Linked DNA regions of Oryzias latipes. The protein of the gene in region 1 purifies or fractionates together with the protein of each later gene. This does not show direct contact. Links are inferred from orthologs where the notes say so. Each region holds a gene or a part of one and is shown in the gene's direction. Other genes may lie near its edges. The genes, in order: NACHT, LRR and PYD domains-containing protein 12; usp50; sqstm1; nek7.

The links.
Region 2: the proteins of NACHT, LRR and PYD domains-containing protein 12 (region 1) and usp50 purify together in Homo sapiens (affinity purification with western blotting; 3 studies listed by BioGRID). This does not show direct contact. The link is inferred for Oryzias latipes from reciprocal best matches to the Homo sapiens genes NLRP3 and USP50.
Region 3: the proteins of NACHT, LRR and PYD domains-containing protein 12 (region 1) and sqstm1 purify together in Homo sapiens (affinity purification with western blotting; 3 studies listed by BioGRID). This does not show direct contact. The link is inferred for Oryzias latipes from reciprocal best matches to the Homo sapiens genes NLRP3 and SQSTM1.
Region 4: the proteins of NACHT, LRR and PYD domains-containing protein 12 (region 1) and nek7 purify together in Homo sapiens (affinity purification with western blotting; 9 studies listed by BioGRID and IntAct, with this or other methods). This does not show direct contact. The link is inferred for Oryzias latipes from reciprocal best matches to the Homo sapiens genes NLRP3 and NEK7.

The regions. Positions count from the first base shown.
Region 1 is NC_019866.2:2,346,778-2,353,864, reverse strand, and holds the start of NACHT, LRR and PYD domains-containing protein 12, read left to right. Parts: upstream 1-3,276; 5' UTR 3,277-3,565; intron 3,566-4,160; 5' UTR 4,161-4,179; coding exon 4,180-4,274; intron 4,275-4,498; coding exon 4,499-4,609; intron 4,610-5,338; coding exon 5,339-5,449; intron 5,450-5,758; coding exon 5,759-5,958; intron 5,959-6,056; coding exon 6,057-7,087. UniProt on the Homo sapiens protein: Sensor component of the NLRP3 inflammasome, which mediates inflammasome activation in response to defects in membrane integrity, leading to secretion of inflammatory cytokines IL1B and IL18 and pyroptosis.
Region 2 is NC_019861.2:13,656,190-13,663,460, forward strand, and holds usp50 (inactive ubiquitin carboxyl-terminal hydrolase 50), read left to right. Parts: upstream 1-2,522; 5' UTR 2,523-2,639; coding exon 2,640-2,878; intron 2,879-2,949; coding exon 2,950-3,145; intron 3,146-3,212; coding exon 3,213-3,428; intron 3,429-3,539; coding exon 3,540-3,682; intron 3,683-5,081; coding exon 5,082-5,211; intron 5,212-5,859; coding exon 5,860-6,048; 3' UTR 6,049-6,392; downstream 6,393-7,271. UniProt on the Homo sapiens protein: Deubiquitinating enzyme that removes conjugated ubiquitin from specific proteins to regulate different cellular processes. Regulates the inflammasome signaling pathway by deubiquitinating 'Lys-63'-linked polyubiquitination of the PYCARD/ASC adapter protein.
Region 3 is NC_019868.2:3,815,041-3,822,403, reverse strand, and holds sqstm1 (sequestosome-1), read left to right. Parts: upstream 1-2,742; coding exon 2,743-2,911; intron 2,912-3,348; coding exon 3,349-3,444; intron 3,445-3,537; coding exon 3,538-3,806; intron 3,807-3,932; coding exon 3,933-4,077; intron 4,078-4,149; coding exon 4,150-4,218; intron 4,219-4,287; coding exon 4,288-4,424; intron 4,425-4,498; coding exon 4,499-4,763; intron 4,764-4,838; coding exon 4,839-4,999; 3' UTR 5,000-5,113; downstream 5,114-7,363. Other genes in the region: mrnip (MRN complex-interacting protein), read right to left, coding at 5,283-5,492. UniProt on the Homo sapiens protein: Molecular adapter required for selective macroautophagy (aggrephagy) by acting as a bridge between polyubiquitinated proteins and autophagosomes.
Region 4 is NC_019862.2:14,419,096-14,426,356, forward strand, and holds the start of nek7 (serine/threonine-protein kinase Nek7), read left to right. Parts: upstream 1-2,894; 5' UTR 2,895-3,183; intron 3,184-7,261. UniProt on the Homo sapiens protein: Protein kinase which plays an important role in mitotic cell cycle progression. Required for microtubule nucleation activity of the centrosome, robust mitotic spindle formation and cytokinesis.

The DNA.
Region 1 (7,087 bases):
TTCTGCTGCCGCTGCAGCTTTATGTCTGATTCTGTTTGTCTGCGGGGCTGCAGGAGCAGCACGTTCTCCGTGAACGCTCGGTCTTATACTGCATAAACCCCCACGACACAATTTGGGTTTATTTAGGCGCCATTTAAATCCCACTGCAACCGTCTTTTGAGCTGTTTTCAAAGCTTTCCCAGTGGTCTTCTGATTTTCATTACCTTTTTTAGCCAGAACATATTTTCTGCAGAGCGGCTGGAATTTGTTAGATTCTCTGGGTTTGGTGCAGGAGTGTTGGGATGGAGTGTCCCCACTTGGCATCACCCATCTGTTTACGCATTCCCCTACTAGCTTACAGCCCCTAACAACCCCAACCTAACATTAGTGGTTGTTGGTCTGAGGATGTCAGAAACTGCTCATCTACTGGAATTTTCACCCACGACCATCTCTAGGGTTTACAGAGAATGGTCTGAAAAAGAGAGAATATCAAGTGAGCATCAGTTCTGTGAGCGGGAATGCCTTGTTGAGGTCAGGGGAAAATTTCCAGCCGATAGAGACAACAGGAACTGAAAGAACCACTGGTTCCAACCGAGGTTTGCAGAAGAGCATCTCTGAACACAAAACACGTCCAACCTGGAGGCAGATGGACTGCAGCAACAGAAGACCACACCGGGTACCACTGCTGTCAGCTAACAGGAAACTGAGGCTGCAATTCACACAGACTCACCAAAACTGGACCATAGAATATGGATAAACATTGTCAGGTCTGAGTCTCCATTTCTGCTGCCACATTCGGATGGTAAGGTCAGAATTTGGCATCAACAACATGAAAGCATGGATCCATCTTCCTTGTATTAATGGTTCAGGCTGGTGGTGGTGGTGTCATGGTGTGGGGGATTTTTTCTTGGTACACCTTAGTACCAATTGATCATGTTACATCACTGCATCCTACCCGAGTATTGTTGCTGACCATGTCCATCCCTTTCTGACCACAGTGTACCATTTTCTAATGGCTACTTCCAGCAGGACAGGGCTCCATGTCATAAAGCTGGAATCATCTCAGACTGGTTTCTAGAACATGACAATGAGTTCTCTGGACTCAAATGGCCTCCACACTCACCAGATCTCAACCCAATAGAGAACCTATGGGATGTGTTGGAACGGCAGATTGGCATCATGGATGTGCGGCCGACAAATCTGCAGCAACTGTGTGATGTTGTCATGTCAATATGGACCAATGTGGAATGTTTCCAGAACCTTGTTGAATTTATTCCACCAAGGATTAAAACAGTTCTGAAGGCAAAAGCGGGTCCAACCCGGTACTGACAAGGACCTACCCCCTACTGGCCCCTCCACTCCATCCTACAAGCCCCCCCCCCCCCCCCCCCCTCTCACCCTCACCCGCAAAGCCATCAGGATTGCAAGGGACCCCTCACACCCATCCCAGAGACACTTCAACCTGCTGCCAGGAGGCTGCAAAGTCTGCAGGCCAGAACCAGCAGACTAAAAGACAGTTTCCTCCATCAGGCAATAAGGACACTCAACTCCCTCCCTGCCCTCCCCCCTCTGGCCCCTCCACTCCATCCTACAAGCTCACATTGAAAACTTCACACCATTTCAGAACACCATCATCACCAAAGACTGCCATCAATGACTCATCCACTTACTGTTCTCAGCACTGATGTCACTTTAAACTGCCACTTCAACCATGCCACTGTTCTTTAGCACTGTTTAGACTACTGTTATTCCTCTTACTATTACTATTACTGTCTTTTTATCTATTTTTTACGTCGTTTATTTATTATTTTATATGCTGCTTGCACTGTGGGGTGAGAGAAAATCAATTTCATCTGTGCTGTATGTCTTATGGATGCAGCATACTTGACAATAAAGCTGACTTTGACTTTCAGTCTATCTGCCTTGGTGGATCAGTGGGTGTTAACATGTTTTAATGTTTTGAGAAGGTGTGAGATTAAACATTTTTTTATTACAATTTAAAATTTATCCCTTTATTTTCCATCAATTTGACAAAATACACCAACCTAAGACAGTGGAAAAAGTAGAATAATCCTCAAGCACCAAGGATGCGCTTTCTCACATGTCTGTATTATTACAATTCTCCACCAGAGGGCACCACAATGTAGTTTTCGCTTGTTTGTCCTCATCGGCCCCCTCAGACCCTGCGTACAAATAGTTGTATTCTGTTGAGACTTCGGGAAAATTGATGACGTTACAATATAATTGTAAATAAATATAAATATTTCCCAATTTATTATATATGATATGATATTATTAGTTTTCATGAAGGGAAATTAATGAAATTTACCAAATATAATTTTTTTGTGCCACTTCTATTTTCAAAAATTTTGAGTCAATGTTTATTACAATTGATTCTAAATGTTTTTGTACCAGTTCCACCATAGATGGCTAATTGTTTCTGCGCAGGTCGCCCTCATTTTGCCTTCAGGGGCAAATGACTGGTTTTCTCTGCATCATCTGCAGCCTCTGTGGCGCGGGAAGGTCCATGTAGAGCTGGGAATAGGATTAACAATTTTAACGTATCTTATCATCTGTTGATTAGCAGGATGAATTCTATGCAGAAGTTATTTTTATTTTTTAACTTTATTGTAAACGTCAATCTCAGTACAAAACAATTACATATAAATGATATAAAATAAAACAAAAAAAAAAATAAAGTAGGAAAAAACTACAAAAGCACACAGAGTATGGAGGATTGATAAAACATTGCAGAATTGACAGTTGAAATAATTATATGTTGGGAGCAAATTTAAAGACATTTTATAACTTTTGGGTTATTTGAAAAATTAACTAATTCAGTATAATTTGACTTCCACAAGGACATTTGTTAAAAAGTAAAATGGCATATTGTTATGTTGGTGGAAGACAAACAATTTCCAAATTTAAAAAAAGGAGAGAGCAAATTAGTAACAAAAGAAAATGGCCAAAAAGATTGAGTAAAGGGGGCAATGCCAAGACAGATGATTATTTCAATATTGGGTTTACATTTTATTAAATGGGTTTTGGCAGGGTGAATCTATGTAAACTTGATATGTCTTTTTTCTCATTGGAAATAGAATTAGGTAAAAAGCAGGTCTTTTTCCAAGATAGTGTTTCCAATACGTGTCAAAGTTACCCTGTTTTTTCTGAAATACCGCTCTAATGTCTCTGTTCTTTGCAAAAGTTAATATTATTCAGATGAGGAGGAGAAATGCGTCACCAGTCCGCCTGGAAGGAGTCCGGTCTGCAGCGCCCCCTGCAGGCCACCGAAACCGAAAGTTTCCGGAGGTGTTTGCGCACAGAACTCAGTCGCAGTTGATGACGATCCGGAAAAAGAAAGTTGGAAGCAACAGCGGGTCGAGGATTCGGTCCGGATCTACATGGACCTTCCCGCGCCACAGAGGCTGCAGATGATGCAGAGAAAACCTGTCATTTGCCCCTGAAGGTAAAATGAGGGCGACCTGCGCAGTCATTGTCACCTGATACCTGCGCAGGGAGGGAAGCGACTGGAGGCTGCAGAGCAGAGGCCTCAATGACGGGGGGAGAAATAGGAACTTCGGCTTATGTGAGTATGCAGGTCAAGAGTTTATTAGTGTCTTTGATTTTCCAAGATAAGAAAATTAAATAACTTTTTTTTTATATGACAGTAATAATTAATATAATAATCCAACTACTGTGTCAATATTATCAAGTCTTGTCTGCACAGGAACTTTACAGCTCCAGACATGCGCACAAGAAAACTTTGTGAACAGGTAGAAACAGGCAAATTACAGCTTTGGACTGACGTGACGCACATTCTTCAGACAGGAGTGAAGGAGAGTCTCAGAGGAAATTACTGATCGGACTGTTAATGATTGTGATTGATTGAGAAATGATCAATCAGGAAGTTACAGTCAGAGGTCACGTGGGTTTCTTATCAGGGAAGGAGAAAGCCGCTTTAAATTAGACAGTGGAACAAATAGTGTTTATTAGAAAATATGTGCAGTATTTTGTCAGAAGAGCAATTCCTCAAACGGATCTCGAACTGTTGTTTGACTCTGTGAATATTTGATTGACTGCCATAGAGATTAAGAAACAAACATCCATCAATAAAATCTGTGATTGGCGGGATGTGAGTCACACCAGCTGTTAAAGATTGGGTTTATTTTTTATGGCTTCAGGTTCAGGTTATGACTGAGGATGAGTGGTTCAAGGAGGAAGAGGAAGAGGGACACATCAGAGATTCCACCATCTCGCAGTTTGCCCCGATCCAAACCTGAACCCTCACAATCAAAGTAAGACGCTTACTAAAAAAAAGGGAGATCTTTGAACAGAAGGAGGAAAAGATGATCAAAAACAGTTTGTTTTCCTGTAAGAAACCTTCTGCAATCTGCCTAATGATCACATTGTCTTTTTAGTCTGAAAACTATCCCTTCAAGTGAAACTCCATCACATTCATGCAGAGAAATGCCCTCTTTTACCCAGGTTTTACCCTGTAATCTTCTGTTTTTATTTGCAGACATCCACAGAAACTTTGTTCTTCATCATCCAGCTCTCTGTCCCTAAAGAGTGACTGGTCCAAAGAGGAAAACCCGCATTTCAGTGCTGAACCTGAACCATCACCCTCAAAGTGAGACTTTTTTTTTGTGAGACAAAATAGGAAATACTTTTTTTTTTTTTTACCAAGCGAGATCTTTGTGCAAAGGAGGAAAAGATGAACTTAAAACAGTTATTTTCCTATAAAAAGCCTTCTATATTCCTACAACCTGGTGTGTTATGTTGGTTCTCAGGTCATCATCCCCACTGTAGTTCTCTTAATGAGTGGTATCTATGTTTACAGTGGAAGTTCTCCTCACCTTGCTGAACTGGTTATTCAGGGAATCTCACAGGTGTTTTTTAGAGAGGAAAACTGATGAATTGACGGCACGCTGCGCCGTTTAAAAGAAAAAACAACACCTTGAACCTTTATCCAATTGGTATAGTCCTAAAGAGGGGTGTTCCTGTTGTTTCGGAGGTCTGCTTTTATTCATAAAGCACATTAATTGTGGTTCCTTTAAGCAGTTCGAGCGCTAAGGTGATTCTGTACATGATTTAGGACTAAAGCTTAAAATTACAGAATTCTGTGATTTTTTTTTTTTTTTGTGTGGAAAGTTTATATGATTCAGAATATTTTTTTGTAATCCTAAATTACAATTAAGGGTGATAAATTCTAGGATTTTATCTATTTAAGATGCCTAATTAAGGATCGCACGATCTTTTTATTTTGAGGAATGTTCTTTACTTGGAACGCCATCACATCAATGCAGAAAATTCTTTTTATGACCTGCAGACGGCTGTGATCTTCTGTTTTTATTTACAGACATCCACAGAAACCCGATTCTTCATCGTCCAGCTCTCTGTCCCTGAAGAGTGACTGGTCCAAAGAGGAAAACCCGAATTTCAGTGCCGAACCGGGTCGCCCAAATTCAAAGTAAGAGGCCGTTTCATCCAAGATTATCAGATTAGCTTTATCAGAGGTTTCATGTCTGCTTTACTGTAGCTGAATGTGAACAGGAAAGCCCTGATTATCAACACAGATTTTCAAAGATGCCTTTCAGTGAGATAGAAAGACTAAATGTTTTTAAGGAGATGCAGAAAACCTGTCATTGTAAAACCTTTCTGTCAGGATGTGTAATCTAGGGAATAGTTATGAACTTGTTGTGGATGTCTGGAGTCTTGATCTGACTTCCTTTCTTGATCTCTGTCAGCTTCTGTTTGAGCTGTTTCCTCCTGTTCACAGACAGAGAGATTCTTCTGGGGAGAGGAAGCCCTCCAGCTGTTGGTTTTGTCTGAACGTCCTGGAGGAGCCGGTCTGCAGCAGCTGTGGACACGGCTTGTGCAGACAGTGCATCGCCTCCAACCAGGCCGCTCCATCCAGAGCCTCCTCCTGTTCACGATGTGAAAGAAGATCCAGAGCGGAAGCTGGACCGCAGACAGCCGGTCAGAGCAGAAGAACTCAGAGTAAAACCTTTGTGACGTGGGTTTGGACCAAAATGAGACCATTTTCTGTCTCTCTGCTTCTGTTTTTCCCCTCGTAGAAGGTTTTCGTCTCCAGAAGCAGTTTTTTAAACATCGGGTCAGACAGAGGAAGAGAAGCGAGCATGTGGCTGAAGGAAGTGAAGAAGAAGCAGCAGGAGGAGGAGGAGGAATGCTTCTCAACGACATCTACACTGAGCTTTACATCACTGAGGGGCTGAGGGACAAGGTGCACACCCAACACGAGGTGAGGCAGCTGGAGACGGCCTCCAAGAACAAAGAAACACGCAAGGCTTCAATCAGGTGCCACGACATCTTCAAAGCTTTCCAGAACCAGGATGGACCCGTCCGAGTGGTTCTGACGAGCGGCATTGCTGGCATTGGAAAAACCTTCCTGGTGCAGAAGTTCACTCTGGACTGGGCCGAGGGTCTGGAGAACCAAGACGTCATTTCTGTGGTTCCTCTTTCCCTCAGGGAGCTAAACTTGGTCAGAGATGAGCAGTACAGTCTTCACAGTCTGATCCAGCTTTTCCATCCAGCGTTCCAGAAGATCCCAGCAGAGCAGCTGGATGTCAATAAACTTCTGTTCATCTTTGATGGCCTGGATGAAAGCAGACTTTCTCTGGACTTCCACAACAGTCAGGTGGTGTCTGATGTCACCCAGAAGTCCTCAGTCAGCGTTCTTCTGACAAACCTCATCCAGGGACGTCTGCTTCCCTCAGCTCTGGTCTGGATCACTTCCAGACCTGCAGCAGCCCACCAGATCCCTGAAAAACTCGTGGATCGGCTGACAGAAGTGATCGGCTTCGATGATTCTCAGAAGGAGGAGTACTTCAGGAAGAGGTTCAGCGACGAAGAGCAGTTCAGCAGAATCATCTCCCACATCCAGAGCTCCAGGAGCCTTCACGTCATGTGCAGAGTCCCAATCTTCTGCTGGATCACTGCTACGGTTCTGGAGCACATGTTGACCACAGAAGATAGAGGAGAGGTGCCAACGACTCTGACTGACATGTACTCGCAGTTCCTGATGGTCCAGACAAAGAGGAAGAAGAAGTACCAACAGGGATGCGAGACGTGTCCACAGGAAGTGACA
Region 2 (7,271 bases), on another chromosome or scaffold:
CTGCCTAAGAGGGACGATTGAAACCCTTTAACATTGTTCCACTCATTCTCTTTATTCAAATGCTGATTTTACTTTCTAGTAGGACTTTGCAAATTGTCAAAGGCAGAAAGTATTTCCTGTTTTAGGAACCAATTTTGAGGTTTTAATTGCCTGTGAGCAGCTGGACGGCTCAGTTGGCTGCGTGCAGGACTGGCGCAGGAGAAACCAGGGTTTGATTCCCAGGGGGCGCGATGAGCTTCATCCATTGTGGGTCCTTTGGCCAGACATCTTCGTGTTATACAACCTAACAATGTAGCCAAAAGTCTGGGTCTCCCTGTGACAGTCCTCAACCCAGATGAAGTACAGGGCCTGGTGTAAAGAAAATCTCTGCCAAACCACCTGTGCAAACACTAGCTGTGAGTTATCTGTGACAATCTTCTTAAAAACGTCTGACTTTTAGATTGGATTTGCTAAAATCCTCCTTCTAACAAAGATTCTGTTCATGGAGATGAGTTTGCAGAAATTGAAGGTTTTTCTGGTGCATTTCCATACAAAGTTTGGCTTTAAAACCCAGAAGGCTTTAGGCTTTGCTGTTCTTAAACCTGCAAGTTTGTTTGGGAAATGTTTGTTTTATTACAGTTTTTTTCTACTGCTGGTAAATGCTTGCATTGCAGATATTTTCATACATGTACATTAAGGCTAGAAAATATTTCATGCAAAGGTCCAAAACATGTTGGAAGACCACCTGAAGCGAGGCATGGACGTTCTTCAGGTTCCAGCTCATTTGCTCAACATCCAGCCGAAACATGACGTGACATGACTACAGTTTCAGGTGGCTGTTTGTTCGTCGTCAGGGCTGTGTTGTCTGGCTACTGCTGATCCCTGGTGATTGAAGTTAACAGTAGATTCTCATGAGTGTGTGTGTTTGCTTCATCATGCATCCACGTACGTACAGTACACTCCCAGGAAAGAGGATGCAACTTACCTGAGCTGCATTCAGTCTCTGCTCAGCTTTACCATCAAACTTAACGGGATGCTGGAGAGTTTCAGGTAACACGTGGATCCCACATTTTTCTTTTTCTAAGTTCTAATTGAGCTCAAATATTGTTGCATTTGAAGAAACCAAACTGTCATGGTTTCTTTGTAATGCAGGGACAGGGGCTGAAATGAAGGCCAGCTCCATAACTGTGAAGGAGTGCACCTGGACAACAGAGGAGTGCCATCTAGTGGAGGAGCTGGATGGAGCTGTGGAGACCGACAGACTTTGTTTGCCAAATATTTACAGGTCTAGAAAAGTGAAGCCACGTAGAAAGAAGACTCCAGTTACCCCAACATATCAGGTTTACCATACTGCCAGAGAGCTTTTTCTAGAGGTTCTGGACAGAGAAGCCATCTGGGAGTTGATGAGGAGAGCTCCTGGAGTGAAGGCTGGAGGTCAGCGGCTGTCACACAGCAGAGAGCAGAGCAGTGTCCTCTCTGAGGAGTACGCTGAGGCACTGATGTGGTTTTCTATAGTTCTACAGAGTGGTTTGTGTGTTGGAGAGAACTCCAGGTTCAGCCCTGAGCTAACCCAGAAGTTGGACAAATTACAGGGTCTTCTGAAGAGAAACAGCATCCAGAACAAAATTTTGTCTCTGACCGGATTGGAAGATGAAAACAAGTTGGAAGCCTTGTCTGCTTTCTGCAGCCACATATTCAGACGCTATCAGGTTCTGCACTGTCACGGCCCGAACCTGACTGTGACAAAATACAGACTATACCACCAGCAGGGTCAGTGCTCTCTCCAACTGGCTCTCCTCGCCGACACAAGCTCTGGATTCATCTGCAACATGTTCCTGTACAGTCAGCAGCAGCTCCAGAAACAGAGCAGGAAGCCTGTGGTTGAGCAGGTCATCAGGTACCTGCTGGCACCTTTCTGCAGCCAGAAACGGGTGGTGCAGATTGATTCCTCGGCCTGGATGGAGGGCAAACTCCAAAACATCCTCTCAGGAGTAAATATGAATGTTCACTTTGTCCCAACGTCTCAAAAGGAGGTGAGGAACCTGACATCATCTGCATCTCTGCCAATCTCACCTCAGCATCTATCATCTAAGGACCCAGAGTCCACATTTTCCTCCCACCTGCAGGGATGGACCGGCCCTTGTCTGGTTCCCCATTCAGACCCAACAGGATCTTCTATGGATGTATTTCTTCCAGGCCTCTGGGTCACATTGCACACAGTCTGCATCAATACGTATGTGCTCCACACACTACAACGCCTGCAGCTTTCAGGCAGGCACATCCAGCTGACGGAGTTCAGCCAAGCTCTGGCCTCACAGCTGACTGCCGACCACAACATCAGCGTTCCGGTTCTGCCGCGGCTGAATAGCTGCTCTTACCAGGAGACTGGCTCAACACACCTCTGCAAAGCAGGGTGAGTCTGTGTGACGTTGCTGCACCAATGAAAGCTTCAACAGTTAAAAGAAAAGCAAAAACAAGCCACTTTCCATTTTTGGATAATTTGATCTGTGGAGATAATGAAGCTGAGATTCAGCTGAATCCTGTTTAGCATCACTGCATCTTCCTCATCAGCAGGATCAAGCTTTTAAAATAGCTGATGATGCTTTAATCCAGCAGTAATGGTAAATCTGGGATCCTCCATGTAGAATTAGTTTCTGTGTATGCTGTATTTACTGTTTTATCTTTGCAGGACAAGTACAAAAAGTGTTGCCACAGCAATGGAGAATCCCAGCTCCAGCTTACTGCTGAGATTCCAGAAAAAGTGCAGGAGACCAGGAGTGTGTGGCCTAGAAAACTCTGGCAACTCTTGCTACCTGAATGCTGTGCTGCAGTGTCTGTGTGCCACTGTGCCCCTCGTGGAACAACTTCTTCACTGGGACACACGGAAAGGACTTGCAAGGTACCACCACTTTATCTTGAATAACTCAGATGTATACCATCGCAATTTCTCAGTGTTTTGTGTTTATGAAGGTCTAAGTGCAGGGTCTCTGAAGTGTTTGTGCACCTGCTGGAGAAAATGTGGATGGGAAGTGGCTCCAGCTGTAGCCCTTTGGAGGTCAGGTCAGCGCTGTGCTCCGTCCTCCCCCAGTTCAACAACGACTCCCAGCAAGACGCACAGGAGCTGCTGCTCCTTCTCCTCAACACGCTTCACGACGACTTCAACAAGGTGCTCTTAAACATGTTTGGGCGCTCTACTTTGTGTGCTCAGACTGACGGTGTTTCTGGTGTTAAAGGCAGCACAGCGGCAGGCGCTCTTCTCATCACAGCCGGCGAGAATGGAACAGATCAAGGGCTGCTCGCCCCATTCAAACCTTGTCACACGTTTGTTTGAGGGCCAGCTAAGCTACATGTGCATCTGCATGCACTGCCATCACCAAGCACATAACACCCAAGCCTTCACTGTACTCTCATTGCCAGTTCCAAAGGGTAACATCAAGTGCTCCATTCAGGTATTGCTTGAACAACAAAAGAAGCATTCAGTGCTTCCTGATAACCCCCCCCCCTCCCCCTCCAGCAAGAACACAGTGGTCTCAGTTGATCTTCTTTGTGTGTTTGTGCAGGACTGTTTGGCACTGTTCTTCAAGCAGACTGTCCTCACTGGGGGGGAGCAGGCCATGTGCTCAGTGTGCGGGCTGAAAAGGGAAACAGCCATCGTCACGTGTGTGGACAGAACTCCAGAGATCCTCGTGCTGCATTTGAAACGGTGTGTTTAACCCTTGTGCTATCTTAAATGACCCCACCCTGACATTGACGTGTTATTCCCACCATGACAAAGGTGGATAAAGGTGGAAAGATTTCATGTAATCCATGGACACCAGTGAAGATCACAAATCATTGAAGAAAAAAGGTTCAGAGCACTGTCTAGTGGGTCTAGATGACCCAACTCCCAATGTTAAAGTGCCTAGGATAGCACAAGGGTTAAACAGCATCATGTCTCTTTTACAACCACTGTCAATGTAAAAACGCAAACCTGTTTGGGTCAAGCACAAGGCGGCAAACTGAGACTCCAGAGCTAATTTGTTGTACCCCTTCATCATGGCTCACTAAAGAAATATTTAAGGGCTACTAGTAAGCATTGATTTGGTTGGGTTTTTTTAAGGTCAGGGCTAAGAACAGTAAGTTATTTTACACTCCTGCCTACGTCAGACTAAATCAATAGGCCTCATGTTCCCGGCATTTCTCCAGAATGCAGAGATTTCAAATTTTGTGCAAAAGATTGGTAAGAGTTTCCTTTTCTGTAAGCTTTGTCATTAGAATAGGTTTAAAGCACATATTATTGTATGTTGCACAAGTTTTAGTTGCGGTCCAGAAGAGAAGTGCTAAAGATATATTTGTAGATAACAGTACTTTATATGCTTTTCTAAATTGGACATCAGTTACAGTTACTGGTTGAGAAGTCATGTTTATATTACGTTTATCAGTGGTTGGTAGGGAAAAGGATGGTGGCCAACAAAATTGCCATGACAATTGAAAAAATGCGATTTTAAATTTGTATGTTTGAAATTTATTCATTTGAATAACTTTTGTTTTAAAAAAAAGTATAAATGTGACCTCTGTAATTTTTTTAAATGTTGAGAGTCACAGATTAGGTGTACTTCATGGATGCCATAGGTGAGAGTTCAAATCCATCAATTTTCATTACCCACTACCTCGTTTGGAGTCACGGGGCTGCATGGGTGAAAGGCGGGTTACATTCTGACAGGTCGCCATTACGTTGCAGGGCACACAACCACTCCAACACGCATACCTATGGACAACTTAGAGTAACCAATAAGCCTGTGAAGCATGTTTTTGGTCTGTGGGAAGAAGCTGGAGTGCTCGGAGAAAACTCACACATAATCGGGGTGAGCATGCCAACTCCACACAGAGAGGCTCCAGCCGGGATTCAAACCTGGGCCTTCTGGCTGTGAAGCAAGAACTGAACTACTGCGCCACCATGGAGCCCAAGAGTTTAAATAAGACTCAAATAAGTTACTCAGTTGAGTAACTAGAGTAACACATGTATTTGTTGTGAGGCACTTGTGTTGAGTTATTCATGAGACAGCAGGAGCTAAGCAGTTTTGGATGAACATCAGAAATCCCCTCTTCCATCTTGTCTGCAGGTTTGGATCCAAAGGGAAGAGTCAGGTGAAACTGAGAACAAACGTTCTTTTCTTCATGAAGCTCGACCTCTCCCAGTTTCTGTCAGGCCTGGTGCCGAATGAATCATCTTACCACCTGTATGCTGTTGTGGTGGGTAAAAACTCACACGCATTTGTCAGAATAAGAACGTCACGTCTTGACTTAAAAAAAAAAAAGACGACTAAATCATAAAAGGCAAAAATAGAGTTTACCCTGACATTATTTTTGAACATGACAATGAGGCAGAATCTGGTCTAAAATGAAAAAAATTAATAAAATCTGAAGGGGAACAAAAAAATAATGTAAAAATGATTCTGCTCTGGTGTTTTTTTCTGCTGTGGGTCTAATATCTTAAAACACTTCTGGATAATTTTTCCAAAATAACATTTTTGGAGATGGAAAACAATAACATAAACAGGGCATACACTGATGAAAAACCCACCTTATTTCAGAAAGATAATTATTTACTTTCTTTTATTTTGTGTACACACTAAACAAATAGAATTTTCATAGTATTAAAAAGAAAAATAATCGTGAATTAAAGAAAACAAAACGATTGGCTGAGAATACAGGGCTCTGGGATTTTCTGATCATGGCAAACTTAGTGTTTTGCATTGATTTAGTTTGAGTTTTTTTCTCTTGATGTCTCTCCTTTCATTTGTTGCTACAATATTGACCAAGAAAACAAAAAGGAACTAGTTTTTTTATTTCAGGGTGTTATCTTCATCCTCATAGAAACAAACTCCTTTTCTTCTACAGAACCATACAGGTCACCTGAACATGGGTCACTACACAGCTCTGTGCTACAACAGCCTGGCTCAGACGTGGCATTGTTTTGATGACGCTGCAGTCTGTGAGGTTCAAGAGGACCGTGTGCAATCTCCAAACGCCTACCTGCTGTTCTACAGCCACAAGCCTTTCCACAGGCCGCGAATCGCCGGCCTGTAAGTTCTGCCAGTTTCCTGTCAGAATCCTGCTCGTCGTGCAGAGTCCTTCTTACCTTCCAGGAAAGAAATAATCTAGAACCTGCTGGTCTTTTGGGTTGCAATACAACTGCTCACCTGCTGCATCAAAACCACAAAATTAAATAATATTCAGACACAATCTTCATTTGAAGCCGTTTTAATAAATTATCATGATTTGCTTGGGGTTAATATCATAGTTATATATGAAACTAATTATATATAGACCTTTAGAAAATTTGAATAAACACAAAAGTGAAAAGAAGTCCAGGTCATTCATATATCATGCAAAGCCTCAAAACTCTAGCATAGGGGGAAAAAAGAAAAAAAGAGAATTCTTGGTGTATTCAAAAACCATCGGCTCACTTTGTGCTCTCTCACTTCGCTTGCTTGGTCAGTCAAGAAGCAAAATGTCAAAAAAACAAAAAAAGGGGAAATATTTCACTTCTTCCTCATTAATGAACAGAAAGCAAAAATTAGCAGTACAACTTTTACAGAAGAAAATGTCCAGAAAAAAACAACTGTTTAACAACAGTAAACATTCATTTTCCAGGACATTTCTTTCTGTTGAATATTTTTATTTTATTTATTTATTTTTTAAATCAATGGTAGCGGAAAATAATGTGGAAAACAAAATTTATAGAAGCTGGTAGAGTTTATTTAGGCAAAAGCTGGGGGGAAAAAAAGAAACAATTGTAATCGTTTTGTGTTAAAATACGCCCTTAATCTGTTCTACACGAACAATTTATGATGATTGCATAATGTGTAAGAAGTGCATGAATGTGGTTATTATGAACAGTAATAATCAAAGCTGAAAAAGGAACTTTGAAGCCTTCGTCTATCTCACCCAAACACTAGAAGGCAAGTCAAGTCCTTCCGAGTGTTGACGTTAAGCCGCTACCTCCCATGAGAACATCATTTGGTCACTCAACAGATGAAGACCTGGCCCTCAAATATTTACACGAAAATATGTGAAAGTGCAACATCAGCATTGGTATGAATGTACATGCCGTCTAACTATTAATCCTGTGTACACAGTACAACAAAGCTAAAAAAAAGAAGAAAAAAAAAAAGAAAAAGGGCAGTTCTATAACACTGCCACCCACACGAGTACAACAGAAATGAGAGCAAAGCCGCCATCCCTAAAACACAATTATGTTGAAGAACTTTGATTAATCCATTTAGTCTCTGGATGATCAGTACTGTGAT
Region 3 (7,363 bases), on another chromosome or scaffold:
TATCAGCACAGTTTGATTTAATCAGAATCAGATCAGAATCGTTTATTGTCATTGTACATGGGGATACAATGAAATTGCAGCAGCCTTGGAGTGAAGGAGTTGCATAAAATAAAAATAAAAAATAGAATGGAAATAGAAATACTGTATTTACAACTCTTAACAAAAAATGAACAATATGTACAGAAACTGTTAAATATTAAATATTTGTGGATAAAATAGACCTTTGTGGATAAAATAAATTTCAATCGATTCAAATAGATTGTCTGTTGTTGGTATAAGCCTGATTTCATCAGAACTAAGAAAGAAGGTTGTTGTTCCGGCTCATCAAGAGCAAGAAATCACAATCCCAGCTCCAAAATGTCACTGCCAATAATAAACCATACAGGAGCAGATAGAGAAAAACTCTGCTCAGGTCTGGTGGGGATTTTCTATCCAGAGTTAAAGAATATATTAGAACTGTATCCCAGCCGGAGACAGTAACACGGACTTTCAGTTCACACAAAGGTGAGAGGATTTCATTATTTGCACAGATTCACAGCTCGCTGAACAGACTTTTTCACAGAAGTTCAACAATCAAGCAGAAATGAGGATTTGCAGCAACAGATAAGAGTGAATTGAAAGAGCAGAGACAGGGGAAGCTGGGGGCAGATGTAAAAGAGGAGCAGAGAGGAGGTGCAGAGATGGAGACCAAAAAGAGGAGCTCAGAAAAGACGGTTAATGTCTTCCTGCTGTCTATTGTCAACAAATGCTGCGATTGGTGCTTTTGTATCTGCGTGTTCCTCTGATTGGATGGTGGGTCTTCCTGTGTGATTAGCTGTGGAAATCTCCTTTATTGAGATGAAATGTCACAATATATCTTAGTTAATCACAACAGACCGTTCTGTCTGGTGTAGCTGCAGCACTGTCAGTGTTACCTCCTTGTGTGTCATCATCAACAACAGGCATCAGACTGAGGATGAGAACTGATACAAGCAGAGATTTGGTGGACTGGTTACAGCTTTGGAGAAAAGCTCTGAAGTGTCTGCATTGAATGTCAACAGTGATCTAGACAGAACAAAGACGAGATCACACCCACCCTAACAAAGAAACAGGAAGTCAGACTCTTCTTAAGATAAGAAACAGGTGAAAGTCAGACTCTTTGATCGTCACACTCTTCATCTGTGAAACTGTGGGAGCTTCAGATAAACGGAAGGTTTTGGGTTCCAGGTCACTAAGGTTCCAGGCTGCAGTCCTGCAGAGGTGAGCCTCTCTCAGGTCTTCAGGGTTGATGTGGTTTCTCAGGGAACCACCTTCCATGACTTCACGGTTTTTTCCTCAGTGGTCATTGAACTGGTTTTACTGACTTCATGTGACTGTGAGTCATTGTCAGCTGATTGGCTCAGGACGGTGGGTGACATCACCACAAAGGCGTGCATGAAGGCAGAGTACACAAACACACAACAGTACACACAACTGAACAAAGCATGCAAATTCCCCATGTTGGTGAATTAATCATTAAGATTTGAAGAGAAGACCTAAAGGTGGACAGAATATCAGGAGATTTCCTCATAAACATTGACTATGAATTTATCATTACTGGTAGTTTACAGATGTAATCCATTTACTACACTTCTGAAAATTGTTTTTCTTTTTTTCCCTCTGAATAGGAAAAATAACTGAAGAATTTTAGACATCAACTCCCTCTCAGTGATCCAGGACAAATAATGGTAGACATGAAAAATGCTTACAGTTAACTAATCATGAGTATTTACTAGAATACAATATATTAGTCTTCATGCAGCTATTTTAACCTTCCATTAGGTCTCTTTGGCTTTAAACAAAAAACCCTGATGATTTCAATAAACAATGGCGTTGTAGTTTTGGTTTATTTATTTAAGTAAAGTTGTATCTTAGGTTTAGATTGTTCACTTGTCTTCGATGTTATAAGGCCTGATTATTTATTATTATTTTCTTGTGACAAACTTTTTTCCTTTTGACTTGGAAGTAATCTCTAAAACAATAATAATTTTAAAGAATAAATATTACATTATAACATTAACAAGAATAACATAAAAATGTAGGCTCCTCCTTGAACAGCTGAGAAAAAATGAATTACAAATTTCAAAAACATATAACGTTTTTTTTCTCCAAAAGAAAAAATCTAATGAAGTTTAACTGTTTTAAGGAAAAAAATTCCAATGTTAAATGAATTATTTATTTAAAATAACTGACATTTTATGGTTAGTTACTAATTTCTCTTTAATGAACTTCCATAGTTTTAAATTGAAAAGATTAAATTTTTTCCCTTGTTTAGTCTGAAACACTAAAAGTACTGAAGCAGTCTAGAACTTTCCTACTAATTCTAGAAGGATCCATTCCGATGGGCCACAGGTTTGATAAACACAGGAGGACGTCTCTAGGCGATTCATCGTTTCCGTGTTTTCATGGCCGCAGTCTGCCTTCTCACGGTGACTCCGCGATGTGTGTGAACTGTCTGCTGGGATCCTGATCACGTGACACACAAGACGGCCTCTGATTGGACCTCTGGAACCGGCGTTCCTTTTACACGGACCAATCCGCGGCTGCGCAACTGTTAACAGAATCACGTCACCTGCGGAAGTAAACATAAAAGAGGCTGAAATTTATCGCTGCGTCACAAACTGGGATTTTTCTTGGACTGTTCAAGTGACGGTTTTGCGTCTGTGTCTCGGTCCTGCTCCCGGTGTCAGAACTTTGTGGTTCGGAGTCCACAGCAGCAGCAGCATGTCTGTGACGGTGAAGGCTTACCTTCTGGGGAAGGACGAGCATGTGAAGGAGATCCGCCGCTTCGCGGTGGACCAGGACGTGTCCTGCAACTTCGAATATCTCAGCAAGAAAACCGCGGCGGTCTTCTCCAACCTGATGAACTCCTCCTTCAACCTCTTCTACAAAGGTGAGCCGCATGGGCCGGGTCAGACAGAGCCGGGATCCGCTGGGTCTGATCGGAACCGTCATACTCACTAACCTGGAACCGAACTTTTTGTCAATACTTTATTAAACAGCCGCAGTAACGCGGAAGACCAACTTAGAGAAACATTCGAGTATATAGAAGGACTGTAGACATTTGAATCTGTACAAACATAATCCGCCCACTGACTTATTTAAGAAACAGCTAATTTAAAGGGATTGCTGTCACGTGACGCATGTAGCCACGCCCACAAATTTCTGTCCTTTGATTTGTGCGCAATTGAAAATATTCAGTTGATCAGGAGGCCCGAAGTTTAGACCCCCCCCCCCCCCCCACACCCACACACAAACACAGGCGGAGTAGGTGGGACCTTATGACGTAGAGGGGAGGAGCTTCAGGTGTGATTCCGGTTTATATTTCAGATGAGGATGGAGATTTGGTGGCCTTTTCTTCTGATGATGAGCTGATGATGGGCCTGGGCTGCGTGAAGGACTCCACCTTCCGCCTCTACATCAAAGGTAAATGCACGGCCTCCTGTGTGAGATCAGAGTGACCTCCCAGCAGTCCTCCCTCACGGTTTTTTTTTTTTTTTTCTTCCTGAACTCTGACAGAGAAGAAGGAGCACCGCCGTGATTTCCCACTGCATGCCCTACCCCCTTTCATGTTTGGACACCCACCACCCCATGGCCCCCCTCATGCTCCACATCACGGCCCTCCCCCCGCCCTGCACCCTAACGTCACCTGTGACGGCTGTGAAGGGCCGGTTGTGGGAATGCGGTTCAAGTGCTCCGTTTGTCCCGACTACGACCTTTGCTCCACCTGCCAGGCTCAAGGGAAGCACACTGAGCACGCTTTGCTGCCCATCTGGCACCCCCTGCAGGTGAGTTACTCCATCTAACCATCTAATCGTCTTTCCACTTCTGTCTGGACATCGTGCTGATTTAAAAGAAAGGACTTTTTGGTCAAAGCCAAAATGCACTGACTGAACCAGAAACTGTGTCTGCAGTGGTTTCCCCGTGGAAAGTGGATGAAGAGAATGAGACACTGCATGTGGAACCAGAACCAGAATCAAAACCAAAACCCAGAGCAGCAGGAACAGCAGGACCAGCCAAGGCCATCAGCATCTTCGGGTGACGGTGGAGAACCATCAGGTGAGAGAAACTCAAAAAACGTTTGAGCCTAGGGCATTAACATGCTCCCACCTTAACCTCTGACCTCTGCAGCTTCCCAGGCTAGTGTGGACTTCCTGAAGAACATTGGGGAGGGGGTTGCCGCCATGTTGAGCCCCCTGGGTGAGTGTACATAGTGGAGTTGCTGTTTTTGGGGGACAGGCAGGAAGTGATGTCATGATTTCCATGCAGGAATCGACGTGGACATTGATGTTGAGCATGACGGGCAGAGGTCGAAGGTGAATCCACCCACTCAGGCTGGAGGGGGGGATGACAATGTGGCAATGGATGTAAACGAAGGGGAGTCTGCAACTGCTGAGAGGTCAAAGGTCAGTCTGTGTTCACTGATCAATGACTGAAATGAACGTGTCAACAACTGACCCTCGTCCCCACGTACACGCAGGCAAGCCGGGACTCTGACGAGGAGTGGACTCACCTGAGCTCCAAAGAGGTGGACCCGTCCACGGGGGAGCTGCAATCCTTAGACCCCAAGAACCACGAGTGCGAGCTGCCGTCGGGAGGGCAGCAGGGGCCCCCGTCGGGAGGGCAGCAGCCGTCGGTAGGGCAGCAGGGGCCCCCGTCGGGAGGGAAGCAGGGGCCCCCGTCGGGAGGGCAGCAGGGGCCAACAGGTCTGCGGGAGGCTGCGCTGTACCCCCACCTGCCTCAAGGTGAGTCTAGTTCTCACAAGTATCATTTGCTATGACTGTTGCCCTCTTGTAAGCTCCTCCCTCTGCCCCCCACAGAGGCGGACCCCCACTTGGTGGAGTCTCTGGCTCAGATGCTGTCGATGGGCTTCACTGATGAGGGGGGCTGGCTCACCAGACTCCTCCAGGCCAAAAACTTTGACATTGGAGCGGCTCTGGACGCCATCCAGTACGCCAAGCAGCCCCGCCCACCACAGTGACCGCACCAGCTGCTTTATTTAACCTGAGTTTCTATCTGTTCAACTGTTAATCAACTCCTTAACCTGTTTCTGTCTTTTATTAATCTGTTTCTGAACAATAAAAACATGAAGGAATCCGAGTGGGTGGAGTCTTGATACACACCTGTACTGCCAAGTGCACAGCAGGCTGCTTTTGAGAACCAAAACAGTCCAAATGAAACACTAAATGTAATTTTATATCACCTGTTTCCACGGCAACACCTCCACCAGCAGCACACTTGAACCAGACTACACATAGGAGCTGCTAGAAGTCAATACTGAAGTCTTCCTCAGTTTCGAACAGGGAGGAAACACTGAGTCCTGGGTGGGGCATGTTGGGGGCTTGACTCCGCCCACAAGCTGGAGGCTCCTCCTCTTGGATTTCGGAATCAGATTTGAGAGAGCAGGCTGAGCTAAAGGCGCGGGGATGGAAGTGAGCTTCATCAGCAGAACGTCTCATTGCTGGACCAATCAGCTGCAGATAAAGAACACAGTAGTGAAAGTTGGATGACAGAAACACCAGAACCTGAAGAGAGAACTGTTTCACTCAAAGTGACCACGTGCTAAACAGCAGCCTGATCTCTCATATTGAAAGAAAAATTCTCATTCAACAACAATCCATGAACTTTCCTTGAACTAAAAAAGGTATTTGACACAAACCCCAATATTTTCCTTGAACTCAAATATAGCATTGGAGGGAAAGCTCTTCAACGGCCAACAACTCATGTAAACGACAGTATCTACAAATAAGATCAAATCACAATTTTGGAATAGAACTTGTGGAGTAGCTCAATGGTCTGTTCTAGGACCAGTTCTTCAGTCTGTATATACATAACATTGCTAACACATCCAAAAGGTTCAAACGTATCTTCTTCTTGATACTTGGCAACAGAGACACAAACCCAAATATAATTTATTTGAATGGATGGAATTAAAACTGACCGAGTGAAGAATGTGAAATTTCTGGGAGTCATCATTGAGGGCATTACTTGGCGTTTCATAAAGTTAAGTCAGCTCTTGATAACAAAGCACCGTTTTTACGGTTTAACTCAGTTTCTTCCATTTCTAAACTACTGCATTGAAATTTAGGGAAACAGGCTAATTTGTATTCTACAAAAAAGGCAATAACGTTTATTATCACTGGCAGTAATTACACACATCTATATAATCCATTATTCAGTGAATAAAAAATATTACAATATAAAAGGTTTTTCAAATGTATATATAAAGAAGAATTGTCTGCCATATATGAACAAAGATTTAAAAAAGACAAAAGTAAATATAGTTTAAAAAGGTCGTCAGATTTTCTCTTTGCCAACATTCAGAACAAAGACAAAGGAAAGATGTGTTTCAGTTCAAGCATAAAAGAATTTAAAACAATCAGTTGAAGAAAACAAAGCACAAACTACCTTCAAAAAAACCTGTAAAAAAAGAATTGCTTCAAAAGTAACATTGTTCCTAATGCCAGACACACAAATTCAGAAAGAAGACACACACTTGCCAGTGTCCGTTATTCCAAACTGAAGGCTTTGATGTAAAGCACAGGCACACCTAAATGCAATACTGCAGAAATGCATGTATATGGCTATCACCAAAATAGTAGGAATTTCTATATAAAATGTCAAACCACAAGAAATATACACTGAATAGCCACTTTATTAGGTACACCTTGCTAGTACTGCCTTGGACCCCCTTTTGCCTTCAGAACTGCCTTAAACCACATAACCCTTGTGCTATCCTATGGGGTCCAGATGACCCCACCCTATGACCCCATTAAAAAATGATAATCCACAGTGATAATGTACGGCTAAAAAGAAGTTCCGGTCACATAGCTTAACCCTTGTGCTATGACCCCACCCTTACATTGACGTGTTCTTCCTACCATGACAAAGGTGGATAAAGGTGGAAAGATTTCATGTAATCCATGGACACCAGTGAAGATCACAAATCATTGAAGAAAAAAGGTTCAGAGCACTGTCTAGTGGGTCTAGATGACCCAACTCCCAACGTTAAAGTGCCTAGGATAGCACAAGGGTTAGATGATTCCAGCTTTATGACACGGTGCCTTATACTGCTGGAAGTAGCCATCAGAAGACGGTACACTGTGGTCAGAAAGGGATGGACATGGTCAGCAACAATACTCAGGTAGGCGTGGCATTGGAACATTGGTCAACTGGTATTAAGGGGTCCAAAGTGTGCCAAGAAAATATCCCCCACACTATTACACCACCAGCATCAGTCTGAACCGTTGATAAAAGCCACTACCATCCAAATATGGCAGCAGAAATGGAGACTCATCAGACCAGACAACATTTTTCAATCTTCTGTTGTCCAGTTTTGGTGATT
Region 4 (7,261 bases), on another chromosome or scaffold:
TTTATAGGTGCAGGATTTGGAGTTCACACTTTTCAAGAGCTTCCTGGACCATTTTTATGCTTTCATCTTTTAGATGAAGAAGAAAAAGAAAAGATGTCAACAGATACTGTAAAGGTTAAAGTACTCTGAAGTTGACATCATTTAAGAGTGACTAAAAAGGAGCAAAAACTGTACTTTTAAATGATGAAACAAAAATGTTTTTTGTGAGTTGGAAACTTAAAGGTCAATGTGGAAAATATTAATCCAAATTGCATCTGTTACAGTATGAACTATTTTACAGTATGCTATAGGAGGTGAATATAAATGAATAAATATTGAGTCATACATGCAAGTTTTATTGCAACATAGTGCTCTGCCCTCTGCATGACATTTTCTGCAGAATCCTCAATATTTTAGATTGCAATTCTATTTCTAAAACTTTTTTGTAGACAAAACTCTATAGAAAACAGCTTACGCTGAAATAAGAGGCAAATACTTCATTCCAGGAAAGAGAAACATTAATTTTGTGAAGCTAAAATTATGATAAAGAGGAATGACAAACAATTAACCAACAAAAATAATGAGTCAAACATCCATCCACTTTTCTGATCCACTATGTCCCTTTTAGGGTCACAGGGTTGCTGGACCCTGTCCTGGTAACTGTTAGACAAAGAATGTGAACAGTAAATAAAGTATTTCATATTTTAAAACTTGGGCTGTTTCTGAATGAGCATTCATTTTTATAACAACACCAATAAAAGAAAATTTAAAATAGCTTTATTTTTCCATCCATCCATTCATCTTCCTCCGTTTATCCGGTACCGGGTCGCGGGGGCAGCAGGCTGAGCAGAGATGCCCAGACTTCCTTCGCCCAGGCCACTTTCTCCAGCTCCTCTGGGGGTACCCCGAGGCGTTCCCAGGCCCGCCTGGGTCTTCCCCGGGGCCTCTGCCCAGTGGGACATGCCCGGAACACCTCTCCAGGGAGGAGCCCAGGAGGCATCCGGACTAGATGCCCGAGCCCCCTCTTTATTTTTGTTTTATTGTATTATTTAAAAAAATGCAAGAATCTTATTTTTAATCTTTAACTATTATTTATTATGCAAGGGGCAGATTCCGATAAGGTGTCCGTTATCAAAATGATAAAATGGCATGGAAGTCTGATTGCGTCAGATGGTTGCTTCCACAAAGTCCATTCATTTCTGATAGTCTCTGATAGTACTCTCCGAAGGAAGGGCATTCTACCGCTTATACCATGATCACTTATGAAAGAAATAAATATTAAATCAATTATTAGTACTTCAGTCTTGTTATTTTCTCTTCTCTTTTTCTCTTCTGCTGCATCCCAGTTTTCAAATTTATCACACTAACCAAACATGTTAGAGGAAACTATAAAATTACTCATGTCTGTACTACTGTCTTACTGTTGTGATAAACTGCATAATAAGGTGTGTCAACCTATGTATTATGGTATTGTAACGACTTTAATCCTTGATCAGACTCTGGAGACGCAGAGGCAGGTTTATTTTTTTGTAAGCATGTGAAAAATATATATAACAAAAAAGACTCATTTTTGAGGCTTGAAACTCATACAATGATTAATGTTAAATTATGCGGTCAACAAAAAATACTAGGACCTGCCCACCCCCTCCATACACAAAACTACAAAAAAACAACCTGCAGGTGCACTATATCTTCTATATCTACTAAATCCACCCCTGATCATGTGACACGTGACAATAATGGCAGTTATAGGTATTAATAAGAAGTCTGTGGTCAATATTTTTGGGATTGCTCAGAAAAGAGTTCCTACTTTTTTATGTGTTAAATTAGAGAACTCTAGACTTGGTGTTTTGTTTTTATTTAATTTTTTTCTTTATTGTTCAGGGTTAAAAAAATACCCCTCGGTAGTTTAAAAGTTAAGCTTGGACGTTGTTTATAATAAGAAAACTTAATAAAGCCACTTTTTAATAATAATAATAATAATACATTTTATTTATAAGGCGCCTTTCTGGGCACTCAAGGTCGTCGCACAGCATGTATACAGTATAAAATACAATAAGCTGTTAAAACAACAACAACAATTTAAATAAATACACAATTAAATAAAATATATATAAAAACATGAAAAGGTCAATGTTAAAGTGAATAGGCCATTTGGAAAAGATGAGTTTTTAGCTTTGATTTGAAATGTGGGAGTGTGTCAGTGTTGCGGAGGTCAGGGGGGAGTGAGTTCCAAAGCCGGGGAGCAGAGCAACTGAATGCCCGGCTCCCCATGGTGACAAGACGGGCAGAAGGGACAGAAAACTGGATAGAGGAAGAGGAGCGGAGGCAGCGAGCAGGTATGGAGATATGAAGTTCAAATCTCCATATGGCCTCCTTCATAATGAAGGAGGCCATATGGAGATATGGAGGTGCAAGGTTGTGAAAGGCTTTGATTAATGCGTAGAGCAGGATTTTGTATTGAATGCGGAATGGCCGGGATGGGGAGCCAGTGAAGCTGTTTTTATAATGTATTTTGATTTTTTACTGCACTACATTGTCAGGAATTTAAATGAATATACCTAAAAATTAGTTTTTTACAGCAATTTTTAGGCTAGATTAAAAATAGATGATGATTACATGTGATTACTATTAAATTGCTAAAAAAAAAGTTATTCGTATGAAAGCACAAGTATCAGAACAAAATGGTACATGAGGTCTAGACTTGGAGGTCTTAAGATGCAACATCAGATTTGTAAAAAAAAAACAACCAAATTGTTGTATTATTTAAATGTGGAAAGAGCGTAACACCTACATATTAGCAATAGCAATTATAGGATTGATTGAAGAAACCAACAAATAAATAAACTAAGCATAGTTCTTAAATCTCGCGGTATTTGACATCTTCCCTCCTCTGGGCTTCGGGAATGCTGGGTTGTTTACATTGCTGACTCTCGGGTCACAAGTATGAGCCGTGTGGTGGTGAGGGGCCTTCCACACAAGTGTCTGCCTGAAATCACGTCTCGACTGACTTCGTAGCACACGCGCTCCATGTGAGGAGACGGAGCATAAAACCAAGTGCGACTTGCCACACAAGACCCACCTTTTGGTTCCGACCTTGGGAAGAAAGAAAAAGTCATCCAACAGTAGTAGCGTCCTGAGTGACCATAGAAAACTCGTAGCGTGAAGGAGGGATAGCTTAGCAACTGAGAGTCCGACTTCCTGGTGAGTACAGTCTAGAGCTGACAGTAATAAAACTTGGCCAAACTAGTAAACATTTGTTTGAGAGTTGTTAATTCTTTTGTTATACTTGTAAAAAAACAATATTGTTGATAAAACCCACAAGTGTCAGTGTGTCTTTTATTAAAGTCTGGATTGGGTCCTTAAAAAAAGTTTCCTTGAAGTTTGCTAGCTAGCTTAGCTTGTTAGCTGATTAGCACACCGCTTTGCTAACTTTGAAATAAACAACTGCCTCTGTCGGTGAGTGCTTACACTCTGCACGGTCTCCGCCACAAATTGATTGGTGTTTTGATGCAAGTATATGTCTAACACATGTATTTCATTGCACCCTACAACAAACAACGGAGCCAAATCTGAAATGGAACCATTACAGTACAGTGTCCGCTTATTTCGACAGATGTGTGTTGATGTAGCTTTACTCTCAGTCGTTCGAAGGAAGAACATTATTTGATTTATTTGGACGTACGGTTTGTTAAATAATTGATCAACCCCTCTTTTATCTCTCTCACATACAATAAAACAATTGAAGATGTCTGATTAATTCTATAAACAAAACCTCAGTACAGTCTGACTATCTTCATCTTTGGGAACTAATTGCCTACTAAGCAATTTCAATGTTCATTTTTAATGAGATAATAAGGAAAATTAATTTGAATGCTTGGTGTCAATTTGCCTATCAAATTAAATCAGAACTTGTGACTGGAAATCACATTCATTCAGTGTTTTGGCAGTGAGAACAAGCACTAGTTAATTGTAAATCTCTGGATAAGGAGATAAAGCGAAAAGAAAAGAAAACAAAAAGGTTGCTTTTTGGCAGCTTTTGAGATGTGTTTGGATGATAAGATATCTTAGATCGTAAGAATATATACAGTCAGGACCATAAATATTTGGACAGAGAGACATTCTAATTTAGTTTCTGTACATTACCACAGTGAATTTTAAATAAAACAACTCAGATGTCATTGAAGTGCAGACTTTCAGCTTTTATTCCATGGGTTGAACAACAAGATTGCATAAAAATGTGATAAACTAAAGCATTTTTTTAACACAATCCATTCATTTCATGGGCTCGTAAGTAAGTGGACAAATGAAATGACTGAAAACAAAATGGTCATTACTGATATTTGGTTGAAAACCCTTTGTTGGTAATGACAGCCTGAAGTCTTGAACTCCTGGACATCACCAGATGCTGGGTTTTCTCCTTCTGAATGCTCTGCCAGGCCTTTACTGCAGCGGCTTTCAGTTGCTGTTTGTTTGTGGGCCTTTCTGTCTGAAGTTTAGTCTTCAACAAGTGAAATGCTGCTCAATTGGGTTAAGATCAGGTGACAGACTTGGCCATTCAAGAATATTCCACTTCTTTGCTTGAATGAACTCCTGAGTTGCTTTGGCTGCATGTTTTGGGTCGTTGTCCATCTGTATTATGAAACGCCGCCCAATCAGTTTTTATATATATATATATATATATATATATATATATATATATATATAATTTTTTTTCTTTGTGAATGGATTTATTTAATTTGTATTATATGAATCGAAGCATTAAAACGAGTACCGGTTGTTACACTTCTAGTATAAAAACTCTTAGCATTAACAAAACTCCGTAACTAATTTCTAGATTTTTGTTATCTTCAGCAGAAATAAATTGTTTTAAACCATATTCAAATGTCTTTTGTATTATTCAATTTGTATATTTTAGGTAAAAAGCTAGAGAATTACTCATCATAGAAAAAGTTCACGTTGGGTCATATTTAGACTTGGAGCCGTTTCCCATGGTGCTGTTACTGCCCCTCTCAGCCAAATATTTCAGGCGTCATACTTTTGCACTTGGCTATGCTACAGAGGGATGATTCAGACAAGTGTTAGTGGGAGCTGACATACCTTGTTGACCCAATTATTACTCACTTCTGTGTTGCCACATTTGATCATCATCAGAGACAACAGGCCTCAGTCTGTGAGCATCATCAGGTGATTGAGATGAACACTGGCTGGCCCTGTGAAGTTGATAGTCAAGGAATGTGTCATGAGCGGGATAAGCAGAAACGGATGGCAAATGTTTGTGTCAGCCTCTGTGATGAAGGATTTCTGCCAGTACATCTCCCCTTGAGTTTCAGTGATGGGAGGTGGATTACTTTTGACAGGCTTTGAAAATACTAAATGATTTAACTCTTTTTTTTTTTTGTATTTTTTGTGCTGCTTGGATCTAAGTGGGATGAACAGAAAAGTGGTCCGGTAGAGCAGTAACCCTTAAAAACAAAATAAAGACAGTTATTATTGTTTATATATACAATGTTTCCATATTTTTTTAATGTGCACTTTACCAATGCAAATATTATTTTACTCAATTTTGAAAAAGTCTTTTTTTTTTCTTTCATTTTTTTTTTGCTAAATTCTGCTGGGTTAGTGATTTTATTCTATTGAGGCATTGACAATAAGGGCTAAAGTGCCATTTATATGCCAAAGAAATATATTGCATTTAGAGCAGCAAAACAGTCAGTCTTGCGAGTTTTTATTTGAGCCCTGGAGCTGGCCCTTAAAGGAATAAAGATCAGATGAGACATTTGTCATCTGACCACTTTAACAGTCATCTTGCCTTTGGGTTTCTAGAAAGAACAAAACATTGTTTGCTTTTTTTCGCATTTTTTTTATTTTACAACGCATATTTGAAAGGAGATGTTTCCCTAGGCTTTTTGAGCTACATTTAACACTGTCTTTTGCATGATGTCAAAGCCCTTGCCCAAGTGTGCAGAAACAATCCTGACAAAGGTAGTAGATCACTACATAGGCCAGTCTGGTATAAAGGCTTTGAGGCTGCTTGGTTCATTATAATACAAGTTTTAAAAAAAACAGAGGAAATTATGTGGATTAGTCAAGTAGATTCTTAATTCCCTGGCAGAGTTATGAATTTAATCTTTTCTTCTCCGGTTCAGGGTGGTTAGAGTTTAGACTAAGGTCTCTAGCAATGAGTGTGGGTTGTCTAAATGGCTTTTTGCACTCTTCTCTAGCAACCAGCCTGTCAATATTTTCCATATCCACCTCCCCTCTATCATATGAAGGGTCACTGATGCTTCTTTCAGTAAAATATCCTCGGATAATGCCTCGTGGCTCCTTATGTCATATGAGAGTTGTTAATTTGACTGTGCATTGATGCTTTTCTTTGAAGGGCACAATAGCAGTCTTATGGGGGGAAAAGATTACGGAAATGCACAAAAACAAAAATGCTGACCTCGGACCTGCTTTAGAGATGATGAAGTTCTCTCAGTATCCAGTGTCGGGTTATGTCACGATAACATTGTGTAGTTTATTTCAAAGCAAAGAAAATTAAATTGTCTTTTTTCTTTTTTGGCTCCATATACTTGCTACAAAATGTTTTTTTTATTGAAATCAAAATAAATTTATAAAAGTAATTGAACAATTATCATTAAAGTAAACATTCCATCTAAAATAAAATACCCTTTAAGTAGATAATCAAAGATGAGAGGCTACAAAGAGCAAAAACAACGAGCTTTATCCTCGTATTGTTGGAGCTAAAAGCCTCAAACCGTTTAACAAATTCTAGCACTTTGAGTTGCTGAGATGTGTGATGCAAACGACAGCTGACGCGTTAAGCGGGCTGTCGTTTCCTTGTACGACGAAGAAAATAAGCCTTTCACTCCGATTAACTTTACAATTTAATTTGTTTCTTTTATTATTTACATTATTGAAAGCAGATTTGACTTCTATATGTTTCATTTACCGCACTAGCGGTCAAAAACCTTTTCTCCATCTGGCTGATGCACATCTGTCACCGGTCAGCTAATCTATCTCAATTTATAATAGACTCAAATAATGACAACAGCGACACCGACAGGACATATTATTCAATAGGGCTCCTACACACCAGCCCCTAAATTGTTATACAATTGAATAACAATTTACAAAAACCTTTCAAAAGGAGCTAAACATAGGTTACACTTCTTGTAACAAGCAAATTTTTAATATGAGGCTTTCGATAACATTAGATTTAGTTTGTAGTTTTACAGATCGTACAAGTCCCTTTTTGTCAGAACAAACTTCTAAAACT